3 linked regions of the Caenorhabditis elegans genome follow. The protein of the gene in region 3 purifies or fractionates together with the protein of the main gene of each other region. This does not show direct contact. Each region holds a gene or a part of one and is shown on either strand. Other genes may lie near its edges.

The links. Proteins that work in one complex are often made in the same cells at the same time.
Region 1: the proteins of clec-65 (region 3) and trxr-2 fractionate together in Caenorhabditis elegans (co-fractionation; one large-scale study listed by BioGRID). This does not show direct contact.
Region 2: the proteins of clec-65 (region 3) and F13H8.11 fractionate together in Caenorhabditis elegans (co-fractionation; one large-scale study listed by BioGRID). This does not show direct contact.

Annotation. Positions count from the first base shown.
Region 1 is NC_003281.10:8,911,888-8,917,039, forward strand, and holds trxr-2 (putative glutathione reductase 2), read left to right. Parts: upstream 1-1,881; 5' UTR 1,882-1,893; coding exon 1,894-2,154; intron 2,155-2,202; coding exon 2,203-2,339; intron 2,340-2,385; coding exon 2,386-2,470; intron 2,471-2,819; coding exon 2,820-3,356; intron 3,357-3,406; coding exon 3,407-3,749; intron 3,750-4,317; coding exon 4,318-4,466; 3' UTR 4,467-4,572; downstream 4,573-5,152. Other genes in the region: tpk-1 (thiamine pyrophosphokinase 1), read left to right, coding at 263-429, 484-564, 974-1,205, 1,250-1,361, 1,411-1,550; M-phase inducer phosphatase cdc-25.3, read right to left, coding at 4,617-5,096.
Region 2 is NC_003280.10:6,257,033-6,262,030, reverse strand, and holds F13H8.11 (Lipase_GDSL domain-containing protein), read left to right. Parts: upstream 1-2,009; 5' UTR 2,010-2,075; coding exon 2,076-2,211; intron 2,212-2,259; coding exon 2,260-2,493; intron 2,494-2,541; coding exon 2,542-2,774; intron 2,775-2,831; coding exon 2,832-2,992; intron 2,993-3,037; coding exon 3,038-3,528; intron 3,529-4,005; coding exon 4,006-4,133; 3' UTR 4,134-4,418; downstream 4,419-4,998. Other genes in the region: nmgp-1 (Neuronal Membrane GlycoProtein), read right to left, coding at 1-126, 307-462, 508-572, 620-809.
Region 3 is NC_003280.10:12,899,707-12,903,871, forward strand, and holds clec-65 (C-type lectin domain-containing protein), read left to right. Parts: upstream 1-1,618; 5' UTR 1,619-1,625; coding exon 1,626-1,656; intron 1,657-1,702; coding exon 1,703-1,929; intron 1,930-1,986; coding exon 1,987-2,090; intron 2,091-2,142; coding exon 2,143-2,426; intron 2,427-2,631; coding exon 2,632-2,829; intron 2,830-3,212; coding exon 3,213-3,322; intron 3,323-3,375; coding exon 3,376-3,447; intron 3,448-3,498; coding exon 3,499-3,591; 3' UTR 3,592-3,630; downstream 3,631-4,165. Other genes in the region: clec-64 (VWFA domain-containing protein), read left to right, coding at 1-16, 78-275, 336-448, 511-696.

The sequences.
Region 1 (5,152 bases), on a different chromosome or scaffold from region 3:
TTGTAAACTAATGTGAGCCTTCAAAGAGTACAGTAGCGGAATGTTCACAATTTTTGGCTATGTATTTTTTTAACAATTGAAGCAATCAAAACATATTTTAACAAAAAATACGGGAAAAATTAAATTCGCACACATTTTTGTCTTTAACGAAAGATTCTTGCGTCAAAAATCGCAAGTTTTTGCCTCAGAGTAATAATAAGCTAAACATTTTAACCCCTCATCACAAGTGGAAGCTTACAAAAAATAAAAATTTTGCAGAGAAATGTCAAAGAAATTGAAGCCATTCGAAATTTTAGAGGATTCGTGTGCATCAGTATGTATTTGGCTTAACGGTGAACCTACGGCAATCAGCAATCGCGCTGAAAATTTATGGAATAAGGCCAAATATCGAGTTGCAACTGATGGAGCTGTTAATGAGATTCTTAAAAGGTGATCTAGGATCCAGAAATTGAAAATTATCGTAAACCGAGTTTTGGATTTCAGAAAGAGTTTCGTCGAATGGCCTCATATTATCTGCGGAGATTTCGATTCAATAAATAAACAGATTGATACAAAAAATGCAAAGTTAGTTTAAATTCTACTGAAATTAAAAATTAATATAGGCATTACTCAACTTCATTGTAATCGTGTTTCATGTTTGATAACATCTTCTATTAATGAGCAATGATAGAATTACTGTAGGGTTACTGTAGTGATCACAAAGAATTATTACTGTAGCGGCTGTTGAATATTAGCTAAAAGAATATATAGGCGTGAACGTTGAAAATAAAATTAAAATATTATTGAGTTGTGTTTTTAATACTGGAAGACTGAAAGCTACAATTCGTTGAGAAGAGTGTATTGACCAGGTCATAATAATGATTTTGCACTTTTTTTGGTATTTCTGGCTTGCCAACTAAATGTTATTCATTCTGTGTTCAGGACTAAAAAAATAAAAATATTTTGTCGAAAATTGTTCTTAATGTTGTTTTAGAGTCGTCCATCTGCCTGATCAAGACTACACAGATCTCTCGAAGAGCGTTCAGTGGTGCTTAGAGCAGAAAACACTAACAAGCTGGGAATTCGAGAATATCGTTGTTCTAGGAGGTCTCAATGGACGATTTGATCACACCATGTCAACGTTATCATCTTTAATAAGATTCGTTGATTCTCAAACTCCTGTGATCGTTTTGGATTCTAGAAATTTGGTTCTCGCTGTTCCTACAGTAATCCTTGGCAGGCCTATGTGAACATTAAGAGTTAAATTCAGGGGGATTCAAATCTTGATGTCAATCTTGAAATGACAACAAAAATGTGTGGAATCATTCCAATTGTTCAAAAGGAGACAATCGTCAGTTCAATTGGACTAAAATATGAAATGGGTATAATCCAATGTTTCAACATCATTTCTATTAAACGTTTCCATTTCAGAAAACCTTGCTCTTGAATTTGGAAAACTTATCAGCACGTCGAATGAAGTTACCACGAGCCAAGTATTTTTGAAATCTTCGTCGTCTCTGATTTTTTCAATTGAACTTGAAAATTGGGTCTACAAACTTGATTCTCTATAGTATCACATTTTATGGTCCCTCTTAATTCACAACTTTTCATTCCTTTGCTATTCAACTGTTCTATTTTCTTTTTATTCCATTTTTCCTAGTTTTCACCGGTACTATATAATTATCTACAATATTATAATACACTTTATTCCCTGTACCATTTTGTGTTGAAAACGAATTAATAAAAATAAAAACGAATTAATAGTATGAGATTAAAATTTTCATTTTAAAAGCAATGTTATTTGTTTAAAAAATATCCAATTCTAATGAATTATCTGCGAATATCCGATAGCGATTTCAAAAATCTAATGAAAATTGAAATTCAACTTTAAATCATTTGTAGATCAATTTTCTGATGCTTCTATCCACTTTCAAACGACATCTACCAATCAGGCGTCTCTTCTCATCAAATAAATTTGATCTGATTGTAATTGGAGCAGGATCTGGAGGACTTTCTTGTTCTAAAAGAGCAGCTGATCTTGGAGCAAACGTGGCATTAATTGATGCAGTTGAGCCAACTCCACATGGACATTCATGGGGAATCGGAGGAACTTGTGCAAATGTCGGATGCATTCCTAAAAAGTTAATGCACCAAGCAGCAATCGTCGGGAAAGAGGCAGGAATAATATTATAAATATTTAGAGCACTAAATTCAAAATTCCAGCTAAAACACGCAGACAAATATGGCTGGAATGGCATAGATCAAGAGAAAATCAAACATGATTGGAATGTGTTGTCAAAGAATGTGAATGATCGAGTAAAAGCAAACAATTGGATTTATAGAGTTCAATTAAATCAGAAGTATTTTTTTTAATTTTGTGGAAATTTTTATTTTTATGAAATTTAGAAAAATCAATTACTTCAATGCCTATGCCGAGTTTGTGGATAAAGACAAGATTGTGATAACTGGTACAGACAAAAATAAAACCAAGGTACGTTTGGAAAAATGAAAAAAGAAGTTTTAAAAAATTTGTTCCGTATACCCAAAAGTTTTGCGGCTTTTCGGAGGAGAATACGGTATCAGGTCTCGACACGACAATATAGTTTTCCGAAAAAACATAATTTATTCTAACAAGTTGTGATAAAATCTATAAAAATAATCTATAAAAATTCCGTAGCAACAAATGTTTGAGATGACAGTACTCGTTAAAGGCACAACTTTTCGCATTTGACAAAAATTTGTCGCGTCGAGACCTGGTACCGCATTTTTGGCGCAAACTTTAGGTAATAATAATATTGCTAGGAAACGGAAAATTAAAAAATTTCATCCTAGATTTTCAGAATTTTCTTTCCGCACCGAATGTAGTCATCTCAACAGGACTCCGTCCCAAATATCCAAATATTCCTGGTGCTGAACTTGGAATCACTTCAGACGATCTTTTTACACTGGCATCAGTTCCCGGAAAAACTTTGATTGTTGGTGGAGGATATGTTGCATTGGAATGTGCTGGATTTCTTTCTGCATTCAATCAAAATGTTGAAGTTCTTGTGAGATCAATTCCTTTGAAGGGTTTTGATAGAGATTGTGTGCATTTTGTCATGGAGCATCTGAAAACAACTGGAGTGAAAGTTAAGGAACACGTGGAAGTAGAACGTGTAGAAGCAGTTGGCAGTAAGAAGAAGGTTACATTCACTGGAAATGGTGGTGTTGAAGAATATGATACAGTTATTTGGGCGGCTGGTAGAGTTCCAAATTTGAAAAGTTTGAATTTGGATAATGCTGGAGTGAGGACTGATAAGAGATCTGGGAAGATTCTAGCAGATGAATTTGATAGAGCTTCCTGTAATGGTGTATATGCCGTTGGAGATATTGTTCAGGTACGATAAAAAAAGTAACATTTTTTTAAAATAAAAATGATAGTATTCAGGATCGCCAAGAGCTCACGCCACTTGCTATTCAATCCGGAAAACTTCTAGCTGATCGTCTTTTTTCAAATTCCAAACAAATAGTTCGATTCGATGGAGTTGCCACTACAGTATTCACGCCTCTTGAACTCTCAACCGTCGGGTTAACTGAGGAAGAAGCCATTCAGAAACATGGAGAAGATTCGATCGAAGTGTTTCATTCTCATTTTACTCCGTTTGAGTATGTTGTGCCACAGAATAAGGATAGCGGTTTTTGTTATGTGAAAGCCGTGTGTACAAGAGATGAATCGCAGAAAATTCTTGGTCTTCATTTTGTTGGACCAAATGCCGCAGAAGTAATTCAAGGTAATTGATTCAAAAAGAGAAATAGTCCGCCCCGCCCGTCACGAAAATGTTTTCTGAACACCTTCAATTTTGGAACAATGTTCGAAAAACCATAATCTGTTCGCAAAAACTTACGTGCTAAATCTGTTATTTTGAATTTTTTATCTTTTTCTTTATTGAATGAATAATATTACACATACGCAAAATTCTGCTATTTTTGCGCCAAAAATACGGCTTGATACGACAATTTTTAATGCAAAGAAAGTGTGCACCTTTAAATAATACTGAAAATTTAAACTTTCGCTGCTGTAGAATTTTTATCGATTTTTTAAAGATTTAATCACAACTTGAGACAATTAATAAATTTTTATCAAAAAGCTTTAAAAATCTACAAAATTTCTGCAGAATCGAGAGTCTGAAACTACAGTATTCTTTACAGGCGCGAAAAAATTTTATCGTGTCAAGTTCAGGTACCGTACTTTTGGCAATCAACTCACAATATTCTGCGGGTAGGTAATACTAACAACCTCGATAATCGATCAAGATACGAAAACTTTAAAAGCTAACCGATTGCACTAAATTATTTCAGGCTACGCAGTAGCATTCCGTGTTGGAATTTCAATGTCTGATCTTCAAAACACAATTGCCATTCATCCATGTTCTTCTGAAGAGTTCGTGAAGCTTCACATTACAAAACGATCTGGACAAGACCCAAGAACTCAGGGATGCTGTGGATAATTCAAAAAGTTTATTGACAAATCATTCAGTTTATTTATCAAAGTTAATTTACATCCTATTATCCTGGATACTAGTAATTATAATTAAACATAATAAATAGTACAAAATATTTGATTATCCTTTTTAAAAGATACCGGGAACTACATATTCTTAATGCGCATCGTGCTCATGGATGGGATCACATGTCTGACGAAGTGTCGAAATACGAGTTCCAGAAGTTGTTAGAATAGATATCACAGATGTTGTTGAACTCCATTTCTTCATTGGCTTCGAAACATTCTTCTTATGGAACTGGTGCTTCCGAAGCTCAGCCTTATAACGATCATCAAACATGATTACATAATTATCTGGCTCACAGAGTTGTACTCTTTGTTCCTTCTCTAATCCCCGCGTGAAAGCGTAAAAGTTTTTATAACCTCCTTCCAACAAATAAATCTCCTCATAATCACATCTCGGATAGATATTTGAATTCAGTTTTCTGTCCACTTCCCGAAGGTTGTTCGCCATGGTTGGTCCACGTTTTTGACTGTATTCACAGTAGAAAATGGGTATCCGGTTGATTTTCTTGGAACCATCTTTGTTGAAGAAGAAGTCTGCAGCAGTTTCTGGATTGAACAGGCTTTGAGCTCCCTGAAAAGATTTGCAGTTTTAACTTTCTGGTATTTTTTCAAAACAGTTATTATAAT
Region 2 (4,998 bases), 6.6 Mb from region 3:
TCCAAAAAATAAAAGAACTCCAAGAATGATGAGAACACATCCAACCCATCCGATGACATACCAAGAGAATGCTGTGGAGGTAAGTGCACAGAATTGTTGCACATCTCCACCGCACATTCGAAGATTCTGAAATAATTCATTTGTTGACTTTAATTTTCTCAAAATGATAAAGTTGTTGTTCATAAACTTTAGGAAGAATACTCAAAAAAATCCCAAATTTTAACATTTCTCCAATTCAACCTACATATGTAAATGTGGAACTTATTAAATTGCTTTCTTTTGAGAATCCTAAAACTTAATACTCACCGAGTTGGCAAAGGACGAAACTAATGGCCAGAAAACATGAAGATCTATACAGTCACCATCTGTATATCCTGGAAGATTCATGCAGAGCCGATCGAAGAAATAATAAAATATACAAAGCCAAGATACAATTGAAATAATGAATAGCCATGCAATTATCTGAAAGTTAGTTTTAAAATTATACGTTTACTGAGCAATTCTTACTAGAAAGAAATCGATCAACATTGCGATGACGCATGCAAATTTTCCACCACAGCGAGCTTCATCGTCTGAAAATATTGTACATAAGTTCTCCTAGATCATTGTCATTTTGAACCTTTATACATAGTTTCTCTTGTTCCTCCAGTTGCAGTAAATCCGATGCATAAGAAGAAAAGTGAGAATAGTCCCATTAAAACTGCGATTACAATAAAGAAAACTTGAACCTTGTCAAGCCATGGCCAATCATTTATTTTCAGAGATCTTCTGACTTGCTCTGCAGTTGCATTAAATGCCCAGGACATCATAATTGCAAAGAGAATAACTCCAAGAATGCATAATAATGATCCAATAAGTGATGCATATGGTATTCGATGAAAACAGTCATCTTCTTCTGCGTCCGCATTCAAATGAACGACGGCGGCGTTCTGCGAACGTCTTTGCGCCGCCTCTTTCGTTGATCTTGACACTATTTTGACAGTTTGAAAAATATTATTTCAGATGAAAAATAAGAAACAAATGTAGCCGTGGAATAATTGTAATAAGCAAGTGCAAGCGGGCACCGGGGCAACAAAAAGGTATGTATGAGTGTGTTTGTTTGTATTGCGATCGAAATTGGAAACGGACGCGGAAAGGTGAGATAGTGGGTTGGGAACAAATTTAAATATTGAGACGCAGACAGCTCGCCACGGATGGTCAGTTTTAGCGGAGGAAAGCAGAAAGAGGAGAAGATGATGGTGAGTCATGTTTGCATGATCTTCGATGAGAATGTCGCAAGGTGCCATTTGAAAGTTGGAACAACTCATGTATGACGCAATTTTACATTTCCTCTGGGTGACTTGTGGTGTTATTTTCAATTTATTGAATCAGTAGGAAACACACACATTTTAAAATGAATGTGCATGCAATTGTGATGTACGATGAGCTGCAATCATGAACATCTGGGAAAAAGAGTTGAAGAATACAAAGGAGTCTGCTGCCGTTTCATTGAACACTTTTCAGCGGCACCTGCCAACCGGATATACATTGAGAATTTTTTTGAAAGTGGAAATATGAATATATACAGGTTACTGTTTTCTGAGAAATGGTTAAATTTTGTTAAAATTATATTCAGGAGTTCTTTTTTTCAAAGAACTTCTTAACTTTTTCATATATGGTGACATGGGTTTATCTATCACACAGCCTGAACGCGGTCTTCACAATTGATTTTTTGAGCATTTTTAGGTGGCATTAACTGTAGATGACCTCGTTTTCATCACCTCTCGCAAGCCCTTTTGAGTTTGAGAAAAGCTTATTGAGACTTATGTACTAATATCAAATATTATTCGCAGTAGAATTTGAGCGCTAAATAAATGAGTTGGTGTTTGTGCTCAGTTTACTTCACAATTTGCAAAAACGAAATACATATAAACACAGACTACACAAACTTGTTTGTCCCCTTTTTTACCAATTTGCTCGCCCTCTTATCTATGTCCTACGGTGTAAATTGGAAAACAGACTATCTTATCATTCTGAAAAACGATTTAACTTTAACATACATGTTACCTCATTTTTCTGCAGCGTTCTTCTTGAAAATGGCACGGTTTTTCCTTTTTTTGGCGTTTGTGGAAGTTAATTCTATTATTTCACCTCCTAATGAAATTATCGAAACATCTGTGGAAGTATTCAATCAGTGGAAAGAAACTAGAAATGCGTTTATGGATTCAATGGGTTAGTTTATTAATCGTTCCATCTAACCCTTCAAGTTCCGTGTTACAGAGTACCCAATGGGCTTTCCAAACTTCAATTGTCCCCAACCTCATCGAAAATCTTCCGAATCTGTACATCAGCTTCATCCATCACAAATTGGAGTGATAGCAGCACTAGGCGATTCTGTGTCAGTTGCACAAGCGGCGAAATCATCGTCAATTCTCGATTTATTTGATCAGTTTCCTGGTGTTTCGTTTGTAACAGGAGATGATGTAAAGCTGAATGAGCAAGCCACCTTTATTAGTAATAATTCGTTTTGACTTTCACTTACTTGCAACAGAAGCTTTTCAGATATTTTCCGTAAATTTGCACCGCGAATAAAAGGAGGATCCTCTGATTTTGTTCAAAAGTTTTACGACTTTAACATGGCGATTCCTGGCTCATTCAGCTCGGAGCTTCCCGAACAAGCGCTCAAATTAGCAAGTACATTGAAGAAAAAGCTGGGTAGAGAAACATCTGATACATGGAAATTCGTTAATATTTTCATCGGTCATAATGACTTGTGTAACATTTGCAATAATGAGGTAAAATAACCATTTCACATCGGAGCTAATTTTCATTTCCATTAAAAAATATTTCAGACTACCTTCGGGCCTGAAACATTTGGAAAGTCACTTCACTCGGCACTTACAATAATTCAAACAAATGTTCCAAAGGTATTCGTTAACATAATGCCACCAATAAATGTCAAAATTCACTCACAAGCTCACAAGTTGAGTAAGTTCTGCGAGTTTTCACATAGGTTTGTTTTTCAAAATTAAAAAAAAAATTAAACATATAATTACAGAAAAACATGCTCGTGTATTTTTGAATTAAATGAAAAAGAATATCAAAACATCAAGAAACAATTCGATGAACAATTGAATGAAGTTGTAGAACAATTCAATCAAAAATATGGAAATTCATCTACATTTGCTGTTGTGATTGCTCCAGCCATGGATCTAAAATCAATTCCGTTACTTAAAAACCAGCCGAATATTGGACTATTGGCACTCGATTGCTTCCATCTTTCTCCAATTGCTCATGATATTGCTGCGAAACAAATTTGGAAAGGATTGTTCGAACCAATTGATCAAAAAACAATCACTAATCAATTATCAGTTGGATTCGATAGATTCGTGTGTCCTCCTGTTGAATGTCCGTACCTAAGAACGATTCAAAACTCTGAAAACTGTGAGCCATCAAGAGAAATGAGATTTCTCCGAGTTCCTTCAGCTTTTGCAAGCTCTCCTGGTTTAAGCATGCCTCCATACATGATTCCTGTATTTTTCCTTTTTGGTGAGTTTGGTCTGGGAAAAAATACGTTGCTTATTTTTTTGTGAGGCGGCTTAGATTAAAAGCAGCTGCTATAATAATCAATAAAACCACTTTTCAAATATTTTCATTGGGAGAAAGTTTCCGTTTTCGCTTTTTCAGAGATAAGAGATATAAAATAAAGGGGCACCAATAAACATATTTTCTCAAAAACGCTAGACGCTAATTGCCTGCCCTCAAGGCACCTACGCCTGCGTCTTGTGTACTACCAAATTTGAACTTTTTCACTTTTGAAGATTATGTAAACATACTATAAGAAAAACGGTTTAAAAATATATCAAAAATACTCTGCACGGTGAAAAAATCTAACACCTGAGTTCAAGCTAAAGTTCAAGAAAAAAGGCATAGATGTAGGCAGGTAGATATTCTGTCACTTATGACTAAAAATATGTCTTAGCATTATTCAACTTTTTATATAAACCGAAAATATTTTGTTCCTAGGTACCGCTCTAATACTCCTATTTGTTCGTGCTTCCATCCGCAGTTCTACGACGTCTTCCGAGTTTTCCGATGAACGACATCATCTACTTCTTCCGCTGCGTGCCGACCTCAATGACAACATTTTCTAAATGGTTTCTAAAATGTACTCATGCCACTTGATGAGACAGTTGCGTGAACGATGAGAACGTCTAGATTTCCACTTTTTATAACAACTACCAGCACCCTTCTTACTCTTCCTAATGATGTCACACCTATGCGGGTTTTATTTCGAATGGCGTAATGCATTCTATCTCACTACATCCATTAATGTTGCCTACTGTATTTATTGTTTTGTGTAGACTACATATCAGTCCCTAGTGTAGTATCATAATGAAATGGCAAAGAGGAAATAAATGGAAGTGTGTCTGTATGTACATATATATCTCCAAAAAGCGATTCATTCAGAAAGAGACAGAATCGAAATTGAGAGAATGAAGAGGAGAAGGAAACCCGATTGTGATTACGTAACCGAGTTTCTTTCAGAATCAATCATAGTGGACAGAGGTGATAAGATAAATTGAGGTAAAAAGATCCGATGGACATGAGAACCAGAGATTTATTATTACGTCATCTAAAGTTCAAAATGGCTTTAAGAAGTTAGGATACTCGATCATAAAATGTTCTTATTAGGTGACACACATTTAGAATAATGAGTCCGATCATATATAGTCAGATATTCTCTTAGTTTTCCTCATGTTTCCATCAACTTTAGTGAAATTTTCCGAAGAAATCAAATCTGAGCCCCTGAAATTTCCATCAGAAACTGTTTCAGTACATTTTTTGCTGAATTCGGTATTGTTAGATTTTATTTTTTTAAATCTTTACAGATCATTTTTCCAAATAGTATGAGATTGTTTTTCTGGAACTCCAAATATTCAATCCTCAGGCTATGCATAGATTTCTAGGTTTGCTAGAGTTGATTGAGAAGTTGCGGCGAATTGTCGAGATTTCAGA
Region 3 (4,165 bases):
GCAGCCGCTCTTCAGAGTACGTTTTCTCTTTCTTAGTGGTGGAATTTTACAAAAAATTTAAAATGGTTTGATTTCAGCAAACTGTTTCTGTCCAAGAACTTGGATTCAATACAGGCCAAGCTATGACGACGAGAAGTCTTATAAATTTGGAATTTGCATCCGAGCCGAAACTATAACTGCATCATGGGCAAGTGCAAAGATCGCTTGCCAGAATAGCATTAAATATGGTTACCTTGTAACCGAGTTTGATGATCGGAAGCATGATTTTTTGTTCAGTGAGTCATTCATACAAGTTTTCCAGTGCCAAAGACTTTGCACAATATTTAGAATTCCAGGAATAGCTCTGAACAATGCTGAATTCACTGAACCTTACGCTTATCACACCGGGTTGAGCTATGTCAACGGAGCATGGAGATGGCAGCAGCCAGAAGGACACCCACTCATTTTGGTATAACAGCTTTAGCTTTATTTTTCCTCTCTGTCTGGCAACTCAATATACTGTAATTCCAGCAAAATGGAAGTTACTCGCATTGGAATCCAACATATCCGAACACCCCATTCACCAACACCGTTGTCGTTAATCATCAGCATAACTCGAATCTAGACGTCGGATGGCAAAACATCAATGGATACCGAGAAAATGAGAATTATATGTGTGAAGTTGCATCATGTGATACTGATAAATATTGTGATTGAATTTATTGTACATATATGTATGTATTTTGAATTAGTTTGCTTATCGAAGTTTACCAATTTTCAGAAAATCGTACTTAGGTAGTATAGAGTATCGAAATCTGAGACTTTGCTGTTTTGGAGCCAAAATTACCCAAAAAACCGAATTTCGTATTGAAACGTTTTGAAAATTTCTTTTAAAAAAGTTATGGCGGTTCAAAGTTCTAGAAAAAAGGATTATTTTCAGCTAAAATAACATTGTTTGGAACTTAATTTTTGATTCAATTGTCACTCTTTAATAGATATTGTGGTCTTTTACTAGGAGTTTATTCGTTGATTTAAGTCCTTTTTCGGCCAGTGGGGCACAAACAAAAATTACATTTTTGTGTCTCACAGACCTTGAATGTACTCAAATCAACGAATAAACTCCTAATAAAAGAACATAATATTTATTAAACAGTTTAAATTAAATATGCTGTGACACCGAGAAGTTGACAAAAATTTTGATTTTACAATTAGCTAAAAAACTAGCCTTTTTTTCATAATTTTGAACCTCCATAACTTTTTTTTTCGAGGAATTTTCGAAACGTCTCATTACGAAATTCGGTAGTTTTGGGTCATTTTGGGTCTAAAAAAACAAAGTCTCAAATTTCGGTACTCCACCTTTAATGGTGTTCGGGACCTCAATATGTGCCTATTTTGTATAAAATCCCACTAATGTTTCGTAAAACAATATCCGAATCAATGCCGACACAGAAATATTTTTCTTCATAACTATAGGGAATATACATAACAGTTAATTTGAAGACACATGCCTTTTAATTTATCAGAAAGTCGAACCACACAATGATGTCAAACTAATACTCATTATCAAATGTCAATAATGAGACTGATTGCATTGCAAAAAAGTTTAAAAGACGATCGAAACTGCTTCTTCATTTTTCAGCAGCGCCATGTGGAAAGTGCTTGTGTTGCTCTGTCTGGGTAAGATTTTCTAAGGACTGTTTTTTACGGGTCAATATACTTTCAGCAGCATCGCCAACTCTATCCGTCAGTGACAGACGATGCGGCACGAACGCCAACAAACTTTGGCTGGATGTGGTATTTGTCATTGACAACTGCAAAATAGGAAGTATGAACCTTGTCTATCAGACGATTTCCAGTCTGTTCAGCAAGCAACTGCAAATTGGAACTGGGTATGATGACCCGAGAAGTACCCGAGTCGGATTTATCACCTATAACTGGAATGCGACTGATGTGAGTTTCAAGTTATAGTTAATGTACGAGTGAGACACTAAAAATGAAATGTTTCAGGTCGCAGACTTCTACAAACTTCAATCTTGGGCCGACTTGAACAGTCAGATTCAGCGCCTCCAATACACTCCACAATCAAGCTCCCCAGCTAGCAGAATGGATACGTAAGTGGTGGCAGAGTTTTGGAATCTAAAAATCTAGGCCATCTGATTTCAGAGGTCTTAACGCCGCAATCGGAATGATTGATGCGACCGCGGGATTTCGTGACAATTACAAGAAAATTGTAATTGTATTTACATCGGTTCATGGATCTTATAAAAGCAATCAACCTCGTGATGTGTCGAAAATTCTTAAAAGCCGCGGGATCCCGGTGGTGACTGTGAATACTGGGTCAAGTTCCGATACTCAGGCGTATCTCAAGCAGATTGCCAGCGACAATATGAGCTTCGCAATTGCCGACGGAAATGTTACCCAAGAGATTTTGAAAGCAATGACGGATAGTAAGTTTGAAAGGTCCAGCTCACGTGGTGCCAAAGTGTCCCATTTTGGTTTGATCTTCGAGAAATGACAGACTTTTCAACTTATTTCGCATGGTTAAGAGTGTGCTGACGTCACATTTTTCTGGAAGGAAAAATTCCCGCATTTATCGTAGATCAAACCGCAACGAGGCAGCCTTACACCACGTAACTTTTCTCCGTTATTCAGCAAACTGCTTCTGCGAACAAGGTTGGGTCCAATACAATTATCCATGGAATAACCTTCAAAATCGCTACGGAACTTGCCTTTACACTGACACAACCGATTATTCCAGTAGAGATGGCGCAAAAAGCAAATGTCGACAATATAGTCCGAAGAGTTATTTGGTGAATGAGTTGGATCAACAGAAGCGGGATTTCAATTTCAGTGAATTTTCGTGACTTTTTTTTTGAAATAATACGGGAACACAAAATTCGGAGAATTCGTATTGCACAACATATTTGACGCGCAAAATATCTCGTAGCAAAAACTACAGTAATCCTTTAAATGAATACTGTAGCGCTTGTGTCGATTTACGCGATTCTGAATTTTCTGTAGTATTTCGTTTTTTCAAAATTATTTTTGGGTTTTTCAAAAAATATTTTTTCGATTAATGAATGATTTCCGATTACCGTAAATCGACACAAGCGCTACAGTAGTTCTTCTAAAGAATTACGGTAGTTTTCGCTACGAGATATTTTGCGCGTCAAATATGTTGCGCAATACACATTCTCAGAATTTCGTGTTCCCCTAATAAATATGAATTTAAGATTTGGTCAATTCCGACTCCACTAAACCGGTCAACGCATTTTACAATGGTCTATTAAATCTCAATGGTAACTGGTATTGGGATCAGCCAAACGATAGATCACCGATTCCGGTACTCACTTCTGTGTATTTTTTTTGCTTGAAAACTATAAACTATATTTCTAGCTCGACCCCAACTCTGGAGCTCCACCAACTCGCAACGCTTGTGTTGCTGATATGAAGTATTCAGATGGAACTGTAAGGCTAACTTTTTTAGAACAAGGGCTTGAGAAAGACTTGGATTTTCAGACCGCGTGGACTCCGGTGAGCTGTGCGAATAACTTCCGATTCATCTGTGAGCAGGTCGCTTGTGATACTGATAATTATTGTGATGGTGTTTGAAAAATTGTGGAGAAAATATAAAGTTATTATTAATCGCATTGCTTTTAAATTTCTGAATATTTAGCACATTGAAAATTAAATTATTAAGGACAATAAATATCATCGAGCCTATACCATTCATTTTTCTGAGATAATGTACTTATCAAAACCAAATAAACCGAGATATAACTTTTCAAAGAAATGTAGTCGTGCGAAATCAGGGGTGGGCGGCAATTGCCGTTCGGCAAATTGGCAACTTGCCTGCTTGCCGATTTGCCGGAAATTTTTAATTCCGGCAATTTGCCTGCTTGCCGATTTGCCGGAAATTTTTAATTCCGGCAATTTGCCTGCTTGCCGATTTGCCGGAAATTTTTAATACCGGTAAGTCGCCGAATTGCCGGTTTGCCGATTTGCCGGAAATTTTCATTTTCGGCAAATTGCCGAATTGCCGATTCGCCGGATATCAGATTTGCTGGAAATATTTAGAGGGATCTTTTTATAAGACAAAAGCATTTAAAACTGTGTCTTTTTGAAATTTAAAATAAAAAAAAATCAATTTTTCCGAAAATTTTCGGCTAATTGCCGTTTTTCCGGC